Linked DNA regions of Saccharomyces cerevisiae S288C. Changing the gene in region 3 together with the main gene of any one other region gives a genetic interaction. Each region holds a gene or a part of one and is shown on either strand. Other genes may lie near its edges.

Evidence for each region.
Region 1: mutations in NFU1 (region 3) and ISU1 together harm fitness more than expected from each alone (negative genetic interaction), as found in Saccharomyces cerevisiae (3 studies listed by BioGRID, with this or other methods).
Region 2: mutations in NFU1 (region 3) and FMP52 together harm fitness more than expected from each alone (negative genetic interaction), as found in Saccharomyces cerevisiae (2 studies listed by BioGRID).
Region 4: mutations in NFU1 (region 3) and UBA3 together harm fitness more than expected from each alone (negative genetic interaction), as found in Saccharomyces cerevisiae (2 studies listed by BioGRID).

Annotation. Positions count from the first base shown.
Region 1 is NC_001148.4:295,822-298,570, reverse strand, and holds ISU1 (iron-binding protein ISU1), read right to left. Parts: upstream 1,019-2,749; coding exon 521-1,018; downstream 1-520. Other genes in the region: protein phosphatase regulator GIP3, read left to right, coding at 1,924-2,749. UniProt on the Saccharomyces cerevisiae protein: Scaffold protein for the de novo synthesis of iron-sulfur (Fe-S) clusters within mitochondria, which is required for maturation of both mitochondrial and cytoplasmic [2Fe-2S] and [4Fe-4S] proteins.
Region 2 is NC_001137.3:157,897-160,796, forward strand, and holds FMP52 (Fmp52p), read left to right. Parts: upstream 1-1,683; coding exon 1,684-2,379; downstream 2,380-2,900. Other genes in the region: mannose-6-phosphate isomerase PMI40, read right to left, coding at 1-1,098, 1,192-1,222; YND1 (apyrase), read left to right, coding at 2,654-2,900.
Region 3 is NC_001143.9:360,558-363,736, forward strand, and holds NFU1 (Nfu1p), read right to left. Parts: upstream 1,272-3,179; coding exon 501-1,271; downstream 1-500. Other genes in the region: ESCRT-III subunit protein VPS24, read left to right, coding at 1-260; PTM1 (Ptm1p), read left to right, coding at 2,065-3,179. UniProt on the Saccharomyces cerevisiae protein: Involved in iron homeostasis within the mitochondrion where it is involved in the assembly of iron-sulfur proteins.
Region 4 is NC_001148.4:679,530-682,645, forward strand, and holds UBA3 (NEDD8-activating protein UBA3), read left to right. Parts: upstream 1-1,683; coding exon 1,684-2,583; downstream 2,584-3,116. Other genes in the region: ROX1 (Rox1p), read left to right, coding at 164-1,270; ISA2 (Isa2p), read left to right, coding at 2,691-3,116. UniProt on the Saccharomyces cerevisiae protein: Catalytic subunit of the dimeric UBA3-ULA1 E1 enzyme.

The DNA.
Region 1 (2,749 bases), on a different chromosome or scaffold from region 3:
TCCTGACGCTTTTTATTTCATTTTGTTGTAGCCCGCCCATACATGTATACGTATATATATATATATATTTATTGGAAGTAAAAGTAAAAAACTCGCTTACCTAGCACATGTTTAAACAAGCGTTGAAATGAAGGAAATAATGAAAGTCTAGTTTTGTCTAGCGATAAATAGTGTTAATTAAAACAGCCTTTTACAACTAAAGAATATTTATATAATAATGATGCCATATACCACACATGGGAAAACAAATATATAAGGGGGAAGTGGGAGGATGAAAAAAGAGTAATGAAAATACTAGTAGTACCAGGTGAGGTAAAACAAGCACGTCCGTCCCGCTTTCACCCTGGAGAAATATATCTAGGAAGATATGCATGAGAAGAGGGAGAGAAAGGAAATGCTAGATTAAGGGAAAGAAATATGACAATATTAATGAGAAACATCCATGCTTGCACAAATTAAGTCCAACTTGTTGATTAGTGAGGGTTTGATCTTGTTCTTGTCCCGGTTATCTTCTTATTCATTACGATAACATGGTTGGAGTGTTTCTCTTAGATTTGTAGTCCTTAATAGCTGCCTTGATCGCATCTTCCGCTAACATAGAGCAATGCAACTTGACTGGGGGCAAGCTCAACTCCTTAGCAATTTCAGTGTTCTTAATTTTTGCCGCATCGTCCAAGGTCATCCCCTGTACCAATTCAGTCATATATGAAGAGGAGGCAATGGCGGAGCCACATCCAAAAGTTTTGAATTTGACATCTTCAATAACGCCAGTAGAGTCGTTGACTTTGATCTGCAACCTCATCACATCACCGCACGCTGGCGCACCCACTAGACCAGTGCCGACGTTGGGCAATTTTTTATCTAATGAGCCGACGTTTCTTGGATGTGTATAATGCTCTATGACCTTGGGATGATAAAGCCTTTTCGTTATGCTGGACGCTCTCAAAACCCCCATGGCATTCACAGGTCTGATGGCCATCAGAGCAGGCCTTGCAAATCTCGTTATAACAGGAAGCATCAGGTTAAATATGTGTTATGTGTTGTGTTTTCCTTATTCAATTGTTATATGAAGGGATGTTCTTATGGATTTAAGAATAATCTCTGAACACAAATATATATGCGGAAGAGCGAAGGAAGAGAGCAGAAAAGGCTACAACGAAACCCTTTCATTTACTTATATAAATAGCCTGAGTCATTTTTCCTCTCAATTTTTGCATCATCATGATCATACATGCTTTTTTTTTCCTTCTCCATGGCTAATTGGGGTGCAACGCACCTTATCGCCTTTGACGGCCTTGGCTAAGCGGAGATAAAGCCTCCGAACTTCGGCCCCGAAGGGATTGGCGCGGATATACACGGAAATAGCTTGTCATTTTTCCTTCGGTTGATGTCCGCGGACCGAGAAGTGGTGTTTCCACATTACGTCTCAGTGATGCAATCATCATGGCACGGGCATTAATTAAGGTTAAGGAACCACTTCTCTACGCCATACTCCAAACAATAACAATATTAGACCTAGCCAATTGATACCCATGAGCGTGCAGTCATTGCCATGGATTATTCATCTCTTTTCGCTGTTCTCTTTCTTTTCAAGTTTGTCATCATCATGCCTTCACTTTTGCCTTTCCATCTTTCTTTTTGCTGCAAAATAAAGGGAAGAGGGGTAAAAACGCAAGGAAGAACAAGAAGAAGAGGGTAGTGCAAGAAAAAGAAAAGAAGAAAAAAAAAAAAAAGTAATCTTGATACCGTGAGCAAATAAGCTAACGGAAAGCGTAAGAAAGAAGAGCGTGTTTTGGGAAATAACACCACAGCATAAAGCTAAAATTCAGTTTATATAATCTATAGTAGTCCTATAGAAATTGCGAATAACGGAAACAATAGTCCACCAAAGCAAGCATAGGGAGTGGAGATAGCATCTAGGTTATGATAACTAACACCGAGTTCGATGTGCCCGTAGATTGGTTGTATAAAGGTAAGAGTAGACGGAAGACAAATACGAAGCCATCGAGGCCTTCTACGTCGCCAGCCTCCTCTTCATCTACGTCCTCTTCGAAAAACGGAGACAATAGCACGAGTGGTAACAGGTCTAGCAATGATAAGCCTCGTGCGAGGTCGTCATCTGTATCCAATGCAGCACTTTGTAATACTGAGAAACCAGATTTGAAGAGGAACGATGGTAATACCTCTGCATCAGACACTGATAACATACCGCTACTTACTCCTATTAATAGCGGTAACCGGAGCGATTCCGCTGACATTGATAATCCGGCTACCGTAGACGCCATAGACCTTATAGATAATGATGACAACGGCTCAAGTACTCAATTTGTAAGGAAAAAACGTTCCACTTCTATATCCAATGCTGTGGTCTCGTCCAAACCAAGACTGGCCAGTTCTGCCATAAACGCCACCGCATCTTCTTCTGTTGGCAAGGGAAAGCACCCGCCAATTTCTTCACCATCTAATGCTACTCTCAAGAGAAGCAACTCGACTAGTGGAGAAAAGACTAAAAGGTCGATTTTTGGATCTTTGTTTAGCAAACGGTCTACCTCTTCTTCAGCTTCCACTGCCAAGAAACCATTACCTGTTGTTAATACTAGCACGACTGAGAATGAGTCTGGTGGCATTAAAGCAGTTGCGACTCCTGATCCACGGGTGAAGGAGATATCATCACCAATGAGAGGAGTGGCACCAACAGCTAGCAAGCCACAGACACCTATACTCCCCTCCCCTGCACTTGCAGTAAAAG
Region 2 (2,900 bases), on a different chromosome or scaffold from region 3:
TACTTGGACCATCAACACCTTCAAAATGCCTTTGACCAAGTTTCTCATCAAAAGTAGTCTCCAATACAGCAAATTCTTCGATTGGAGGGTTATATAAAACTGACTTACCGTTACCAGAGGACCTGTCGAACTTTAAAGGCTGCATTTTTTGCTTTTCCACAGGATCATATGTATAGGTTAACATGGAGACCAAGTTTTTAACATCCTTGAATTTTGGAGTGAAGCCTGCTCTAACTACGTTGTCAGAAGCAGCCATACATTCCATAATATCACCGCTTATATAGGCGTGAGGATCCTTAGCTCTTAAAAAGATGGCTTCACCAGCATTCAATCTGCAGTGATTCAACAATAAACATCCACAAAACAAACCCACGTCATCAGGGAACTGTTTATTCAGTCTTTGAATTAATTCTGGTAAATCAGGTTTGTTAAAGTCTGATGGAGAATTCTTTGATCTTTCGACCAAGGAGCGAGCTTGAATCTTGATTTTGTCATCCGAAGCGTTCATGACCCTGCTGAAAACAGCTTGCAATAGCTTTTTGTTTTGCTCATCTTCTGGGGAACCTTTCTGAGCAGAAGGTTGAATGTTCTCAATAAAATTCCTGGAAGTTTCTTCACCAACAATGTTGCGTAATTCAGGAATACGTTTCAATTCATCTGCAATCTCTTGCAAAGGTTTGAACCCGCAGAAACCTTCAAAGTCAGTCACAGCGATGGCCATTTCAGGTTTGTGATTATCATCAGGATAGTTCTTAGGATCTTGAGCGTGCAATATTTTACCCAAGGCTTTGTCGGGATGTGCTTGAATAGACAAGACTTTTTCAATGGACAAAACTTTGAAAAGGAAGGGCAATTCATTTGTGGCGTGGAACTTATCAATAATGTCCTTACCTAACATGGCAGAGGGGTTCTTGGAGATGATATCTCTCAGGGATTCCTTAGACTCATGGTTGTAGGAAGGCATCTTGCTGTGGGTACCCATCCATAACTCTGCATATGGTTTATCTTGTTCAATTTGAACAGAGGGGTCAGAATGGGCAGCAAATTGAGCGACAGCTGAAGAAGAGCCGATTTTACCCCAGTCGTATTGTTGGTAGCCTACATAGAGTCGTACGCGTTAGTTAGTGTACCAAAAAAAAAAAAAAAAAATACTCAAAGTATTCAAAATATTTGACGAAAAATGGCACATACCTGCATCTAACCTGAACAGCTTGTTGGACATGTTTTAAAATTTTCTGGTCTGATGTTCTTTACGTGTTTAGTGTTGAATGATTACAAGAAACAAACATTTTATACAGAAATATACTAAGATTGCGACGTGTATATTTAAATACGTAAATCGCGGCGAAAAAGGACACGGACGCGACAAAAAATTGCTACAATAACCAAGCAGCACGAAATGGATAGTGCACCACGAGACTTGGCATGATCAAAGTGCAAAAGAAAGCAGAATAACAAATTACTCCCGCAAAGTACTAGCTATATCAGGGAACGACTTTATTGGCATCTTGTTGTAGCAAGGTTTTCATGATTCTCATCCTTGCGCTTGTCGCGCGGCACGATGCCAGTGCGGAGTTTCCGCGATATGATGTAACTGCAGCTGTTGGTGGCGAACTTTGCATAAGATCGACCTCCTACTGATGAGAAAGATAGGATGGATTATATAGAAGAGCACAAGCAACGATGAATGGGTTGGTATTAGGCGCTACAGGTTTATGCGGAGGCGGGTTTCTGAGGCACGCACAGGAGGCACCCCAGTTCTCTAAGGTATACGCGATCTTGAGAAGGGAATTGCCCTTTCCGGCCACTGATAAAGTTGTGGCCATAGTAGAAAGGGATAATTCAAAGTGGTCACAATTGATCACCAATGAAATGAATCCGCAGGTGCTATTCACCGCACTGGCAACGACAAGGGCAGCTGCAGGCGGTTTGGACAAGCAATACAAGATCGATCATGATTTAAACTTACAATTGGCCCAGGCTGCCAAGGAAAAAGGATGTGAAACGATCGTTCTCGTTTCTTCCGCTGGTGCTCATCCGGACTCCAGGTTCGGCTACATGAAGATGAAGGGCGAGATTGAACGCGATGTTATCGCTCTTGATTTTAAGCACATTATAATTTTGCGCCCAGGCCCTCTCCTTGGTGAACGGACAAATTCTAAACAAAGCGGATTTGGCGGCAATCTGACTGCTGCTTTGGGCACTCGCGTGTACCGTTCTAGATTCCAGAGGTTGCTAGGCTATCCAGTTTATGGCGATGAGGTAGGAAAAGTTGGTGTTCATTTGGCGTTGAATACTTCTGGGAAAGACAAGGTTCAGTTTGTCTCCAGCAAGGACATTCTTGACATCTCAGCTTCTCTGGAGAAGATTGCTACCTAAATCAACCAACGGCTTCTTCTCGCAGCTACAGTTGTATTTTACTGTGACGTACTTTTGCGCGCGTACGGGTTCAATGAATTACGGATTTTCAACAACTTCACACAATCATAGCTTTTTTTACTTTTTCGCCTCATTATTTTCTTTAAAGAAACGATGATAAACAGAGATTTATCGTCATGTTATTTCGTTCGTATATATCGTATTTGCGTTTTAGCTGTATAAAGTAAAATACTATATCTAACGTGGCTTTTTTTATTTCCCCGTCTGCCCTCTTATGCTCATAGAAAACACTAATGATCGGTTTGGTATCGTCATAGATGCAGGGTCTTCGGGTTCGAGAATCCATGTGTTTAAGTGGCAGGACACGGAATCGCTTCTTCATGCAACAAACCAGGACTCACAGTCCATATTACAATCAGTACCTCATATTCATCAAGAAAAAGACTGGACTTTTAAGCTGAATCCAGGCTTGTCGAGTTTTGAAAAAAAACCTCAAGATGCGTACAAATCTCACATCAAGC
Region 3 (3,179 bases):
GGATTATAAGTGAAATGGTGGATGATACCATGGAGAGTGTTGGGGACGTAGGGGAAGAGATGGACGAAGCTGTTGATGAAGAAGTTAATAAGATAGTTGAACAATACACAAACGAGAAATTCAAGAATGTTGACCAAGTGCCAACCGTAGAATTAGCAGCCAATGAAGAAGAGCAAGAAATTCCGGATGAAAAAGTTGATGAGGAAGCAGATAGGATGGTAAATGAAATGCGTGAAAGGCTGAGAGCTTTGCAAAACTAGAGTGTTACTGTGACTGTACAAAGAAAATAAATAAATAAGTGAATAAATAATGGTACGAATAACACAGTAAAAAGGGCACCCGTTTTTAGTGTATGGAAAAAGTTGAGTGCTTTACCCTTTTTCCATGATGACCGTTGAAACATGTACGGACTATCAAGTAATAGTGAGGGTAAAGACAGTATATACACACTTCCTTTTATTTTCGTCTCATCTTGTATTTTCATTTGAAGGACGGAATATTTACTTTTCATGGCTTGTATTTTTACTCGATTCCAACTTTTTTTCAAGCTTATCAAATTCCTTTAATGCTATTTCTTGCTCAGGATCCATGATCTGAATCACTTCTTTCACTTCATCCACATAGTGCTTCAACATGGACTCAATACCGTACTTCAAAGTCACTTCACTAGAAGAGCATGAGGTACATGCACCTTGTAATCTTAAATAAACGGTTCCAGTCTTTGGATCCCACCCACGGTAATCGATATCACCGCCGTCCTCCAAGATGGCTGGTCTTATTCTTGTATCTATCAGCTCTTCAATCAATTCGCTGACCTCTTCATCTTCTTCGGTAAGTTCAAATTTGGGCATATTTATTTTGTAGCCACCTTCTCCTTCTTCTTCTTGGACAGCATGGAATTCTTTGGATATAACATCTTCACCGTAAGCAAGTTGCTTGGTTAACAAATCTATAATTTCAGGCTTGATACTATTCCAATGGACCATTCTGTCTTTATTAATAGTGAGAAAATCATCACCTATCATTAAAGACTCCACTCCTGGACACTGCAAAAAAATTTGCTGTGCTAACTTGGAATGGTTGATGAGGTTTTCATCAGTGTTCTTAATAACTATACTCTTGGAGCCACGCGTCTGTAGCATCTCGCCATCTGTGGAGAGAAATTTTAAAGCATTTTCATTTGGAGTTGTTAAAGTCTTAATATGAATTAATCTCTGAGAATTTAAGTAAAAAATCGGAGACTTCCCCAATTTAGCCACTGATTTGAACATTGTTAGTCAATTTCTTGCTTTTTTGCTTAGATTACGCTGAGAATGCCTTATGTATTCTAATTAGTCCGCTAAATACGCTTCTTTTTATAATGATTAATAAGCAATATTGTAAGTAGATCACTGAAATTCGGAAAACTTAAATTATTTATCACTTGATACGTTAGAAGGCTATTTCTACAATCACCAGGACTCCGCTAAGTGGTCCTATAGATTTGATGAAATGCCTGCTTTGACGGTCTTGATGATACAAGCTAACGCTTAGCATGTTACTATACTCAATGTACATTGTTTTATCCTCAAGAGACCGCAGACGTTTCAATTTTGTGTTTAAAAGAACAATGGACAGTATATACGTAGTGCCAATTTTCTTCTATGGTGTATTATGCGCATTGAACATTGTAATATCCGTAATGTTGAACATAATTTGGGAATTGCTTCCGAATCTTCAACCTTCATGTATACCTCTTTTCGGCTAGAGTGTGGTACTTTAATTACTGCTTAGTTGTTTTGCCCGATTTAGATATTGCACCCGTGCACGTCACACATAAGCTTGGTCTTTTAAATAGTGTGTGAAAAAACGAACTTGAAGAAAAAGATAGAGCAAGATATATATAGGAGTAGGAATAGGGAGAGTGGAAAAAAAAACTTAGCCTCAAACTAATAGTCAAGAGGATCAACTATTCTGTTCAGGTTTTGCAGGTTAAAAATTGAAATAGAATATTTTCTCGGTAATTTCAAGAAACAGCTGGTAAAAAGGCAGTAAATTTACAGAAACTAAGAGTGTAAGGGCACAATGAGAGTATATCAGTTTTGCCGACCTTTCCAATTATTCACCTGCTTCTTATGCTACCTTCTAGTGTTCGTAAAAGCTAACAAGGAAAAGATAAGTCAAAAGAATTATCAAGTATGCGCAGGTATGTATTCCAAAGAAGATTGGAAGGGCAAAATAGACCCGTTTATATCATTCAATCTTAAAAAAATAAGTGGATTGAGTGATGAGTCTGATCCAGGCTTAGTCGTTGCAATCTATGATTTCCAAGACTTTGAGCACTTAGGTGTGCAATTGCCGGATGAAGAAATGTATTATATTTGTGATGATTATGCAATTGATATCGGGATTTGTGAAGAGGAGAATCGTGATGAGTTTATTGTTCAAGATGTTGTATATGATCCATATACTTCCACAAATAGATCTTTGGCCAATCCAATCATGACGTTTTCTCAAAATGAGGTCGGCCTTCATGATACTAGATACCCAATAAAAGAAACCGGATTTTATTGTGTTACTGCGTTCAGATCATCGACGTCTACCAAGTTCAACGCTGTGGTGAATTTCAGGAATGCTTATGGTCAGCTTGCGGGCACCGAGATCAACAAATTGCCACTATATGGTCTTTTGGCGGTCGCATACGTTGTGGCGATGGCGTTATATTCCTTCGCCTTCTGGAAGCACAAGCATGAATTGTTACCATTACAAAAGTATTTGCTGGCCTTTTTTGTATTTTTAACCGCAGAAACCATATTTGTATGGGCTTACTATGATTTGAAAAATGAAAAAGGTGATACTGCGGGAATAAAAGTTTATATGGTGTTCTTGTCGATATTGACGGCTGGTAAAGTTACATTTTCATTTTTCCTATTATTGATTATCGCTTTGGGCTACGGTATCGTGTACCCTAAGTTGAATAAAACGTTGATGAGGCGTTGCCAAATGTATGGTGCGTTAACTTATGCAATTTGCATTGGATTTTTGATCCAAAGTTATTTGACCGACATGGAGGCACCATCTCCACTAATCTTGATCACCTTGATTCCTATGGCGCTTGCATTAATCATATTTTACTACATGATTATTAGATCCATGACAAAAACAGTTATCTATTTGAAAGAGCAAAGGCAGATCGTAAA
Region 4 (3,116 bases), on a different chromosome or scaffold from region 3:
TAGCACTATTTTCCAGTTTTAATGTTTCTTCTCATTGCTTTCTTTTATAATTTTCGCATATAATTATACATTTACGGTGTCTTAACTCTCCCTCTTCACCCCTCATTATTCCAGAAAATACTAATACTTCTTCACACAAAAGAACGCAGTTAGACAATCAACAATGAATCCTAAATCCTCTACACCTAAGATTCCAAGACCCAAGAACGCATTTATTCTGTTCAGACAGCACTACCACAGGATCTTAATAGACGAATGGACCGCTCAAGGTGTGGAAATACCCCATAATTCAAACATTTCTAAAATTATTGGTACGAAGTGGAAGGGCTTACAACCGGAAGATAAGGCACACTGGGAAAATCTAGCGGAGAAGGAGAAACTAGAACATGAAAGGAAGTATCCTGAATACAAATACAAGCCGGTAAGAAAGTCTAAGAAGAAGCAACTACTTTTGAAGGAAATCGAGCAACAGCAGCAGCAACAACAGAAAGAACAGCAGCAGCAGAAACAGTCACAACCGCAATTACAACAGCCCTTTAACAACAATATAGTTCTTATGAAAAGAGCACATTCTCTTTCACCATCTTCCTCGGTGTCAAGCTCGAACAGCTATCAGTTCCAATTGAACAATGATCTTAAGAGGTTGCCTATTCCTTCTGTTAATACTTCTAACTATATGGTCTCCAGATCTTTAAGTGGACTACCTTTGACGCATGATAAGACGGCAAGAGACCTACCACAGCTGTCATCTCAACTAAATTCTATTCCATATTACTCAGCTCCACACGACCCTTCAACGAGACATCATTACCTCAACGTCGCTCAAGCTCAACCAAGGGCTAACTCGACCCCTCAATTGCCCTTTATTTCATCCATTATCAACAACAGCAGTCAAACACCGGTAACTACAACTACCACATCCACAACAACTGCGACATCTTCTCCTGGGAAATTCTCCTCTTCTCCGAACTCCTCTGTACTGGAGAACAACAGATTAAACAGTATCAACAATTCAAATCAATATTTACCTCCCCCTCTATTACCTTCTCTGCAAGATTTTCAACTGGATCAGTACCAGCAGCTAAAGCAGATGGGACCAACTTATATTGTCAAACCACTGTCTCACACCAGGAACAATCTATTGTCCACAACTACCCCTACGCATCATCACATTCCTCATATACCAAACCAAAACATTCCTCTACATCAAATTATAAACTCAAGCAACACTGAGGTCACCGCTAAAACTAGCCTAGTTTCTCCGAAATGATTTTTTTTTTCCATTTCTTCTTTCCGTTATATTATATTATACTATATTCCCTTTAACTAAAAATTTATGCATTTGGCTCCTGTTTAATAAAAGTTTAAATCGCCTCAAAAGAACAATTGAAAAATATGTAAAATAACAGCAAATAAAAGTCAAAATTAAAACAAAGTACCCAGAGACAAAAAAGAAAGAAAAGAAAAAAGAAACAGTCTACAAATTCTATTTGAATATATAAAATTATATTCTCAATTTTCACGTATATATTCACCTCACAAATAATATCATTCCTTTAAAAAAAAATATGTATTATTGTATAATGTTTCAGCATAGTCGTTTTTTAAGCCCTTTTTTTTAAACTTAAAAAACAAATCAATGAGATATTGTATACCTATATTATCGATAATAAAGCGACGAGGATGGACTGCAAGATATTGGTGTTAGGCGCAGGTGGTCTAGGATGCGAAATCCTGAAGAATTTGACAATGTTAAGCTTTGTTAAACAGGTTCATATTGTAGATATAGACACAATCGAGCTAACCAACCTTAATAGACAATTTCTTTTTTGTGATAAGGACATAGGCAAACCGAAAGCTCAAGTGGCAGCCCAGTATGTAAACACGCGGTTCCCTCAATTGGAAGTTGTGGCGCACGTACAGGACCTGACCACTTTGCCCCCGAGCTTTTACAAAGACTTCCAGTTCATAATCTCGGGGCTGGACGCCATTGAACCTCGTCGCTTCATCAATGAGACTCTCGTGAAGCTTACCTTGGAGTCCAATTATGAAATTTGCATCCCGTTCATAGATGGTGGAACAGAGGGGCTCAAGGGACATGTAAAAACAATCATTCCAGGCATCACTGCATGCTGGGAGTGCTCCATTGATACCTTGCCCTCGCAGCAGGATACTGTGCCAATGTGTACAATCGCCAACAATCCTCGCTGCATTGAGCATGTTGTGGAGTATGTCTCAACTATACAATACCCTGATTTAAATATTGAGTCTACGGCGGATATGGAATTTCTGCTGGAGAAGTGCTGCGAAAGGGCTGCCCAATTTAGCATCTCAACAGAAAAATTATCAACAAGTTTTATCCTGGGTATAATAAAGAGTATCATACCTAGTGTAAGCACTACGAATGCGATGGTTGCAGCGACATGCTGTACGCAGATGGTTAAGATTTATAATGATTTAATCGACCTGGAAAACGGCAATAATTTCACTTTGATTAACTGCTCAGAAGGGTGTTTTATGTACAGTTTCAAGTTCGAGCGGTTACCCGACTGTACTGTTTGTTCAAATTCCAATTCCAACTAGTATTACTAATGAATAATACCATCCGCCGGTGTCACTTGTTTAAACATCTTGCAAGTAAGTCGAGATCCTAGAGAGCCTTGTACATGTGATTGCACAGTAAAGAAGGTATGCAGGCTAAATTATTGTTTACCAGACTAAACTTTAGACGTCCCTCCACAACTTTACGCCAGTTTCCCCTAACATGTTTTTTATTTCATAGCAAAGCATTTTACTCGGATCTGGTCACTAAGGAGCCGTTGATCACACCGAAAAGAATAATAAATAAGACGCCTGGGTTAAACTTATCTATTTCTGAGAGGGCTTCCAACAGACTAGCTGAGATCTACCGCAATAGTAAGGAAAATTTAAGAATTAGTGTGGAAAGTGGTGGATGTCACGGTTTCCAGTACAATCTAACTCTAGAACCCGCTACCAAGCCAGATATTAAGAATGATGTCAAAGACAAGGAGTTTTCAGACGACCTTGACGATGATGATTCCAAGGATATAATATACGTGTTACCCGAAGATAAGGGTCGAGTGATAATTGATAGT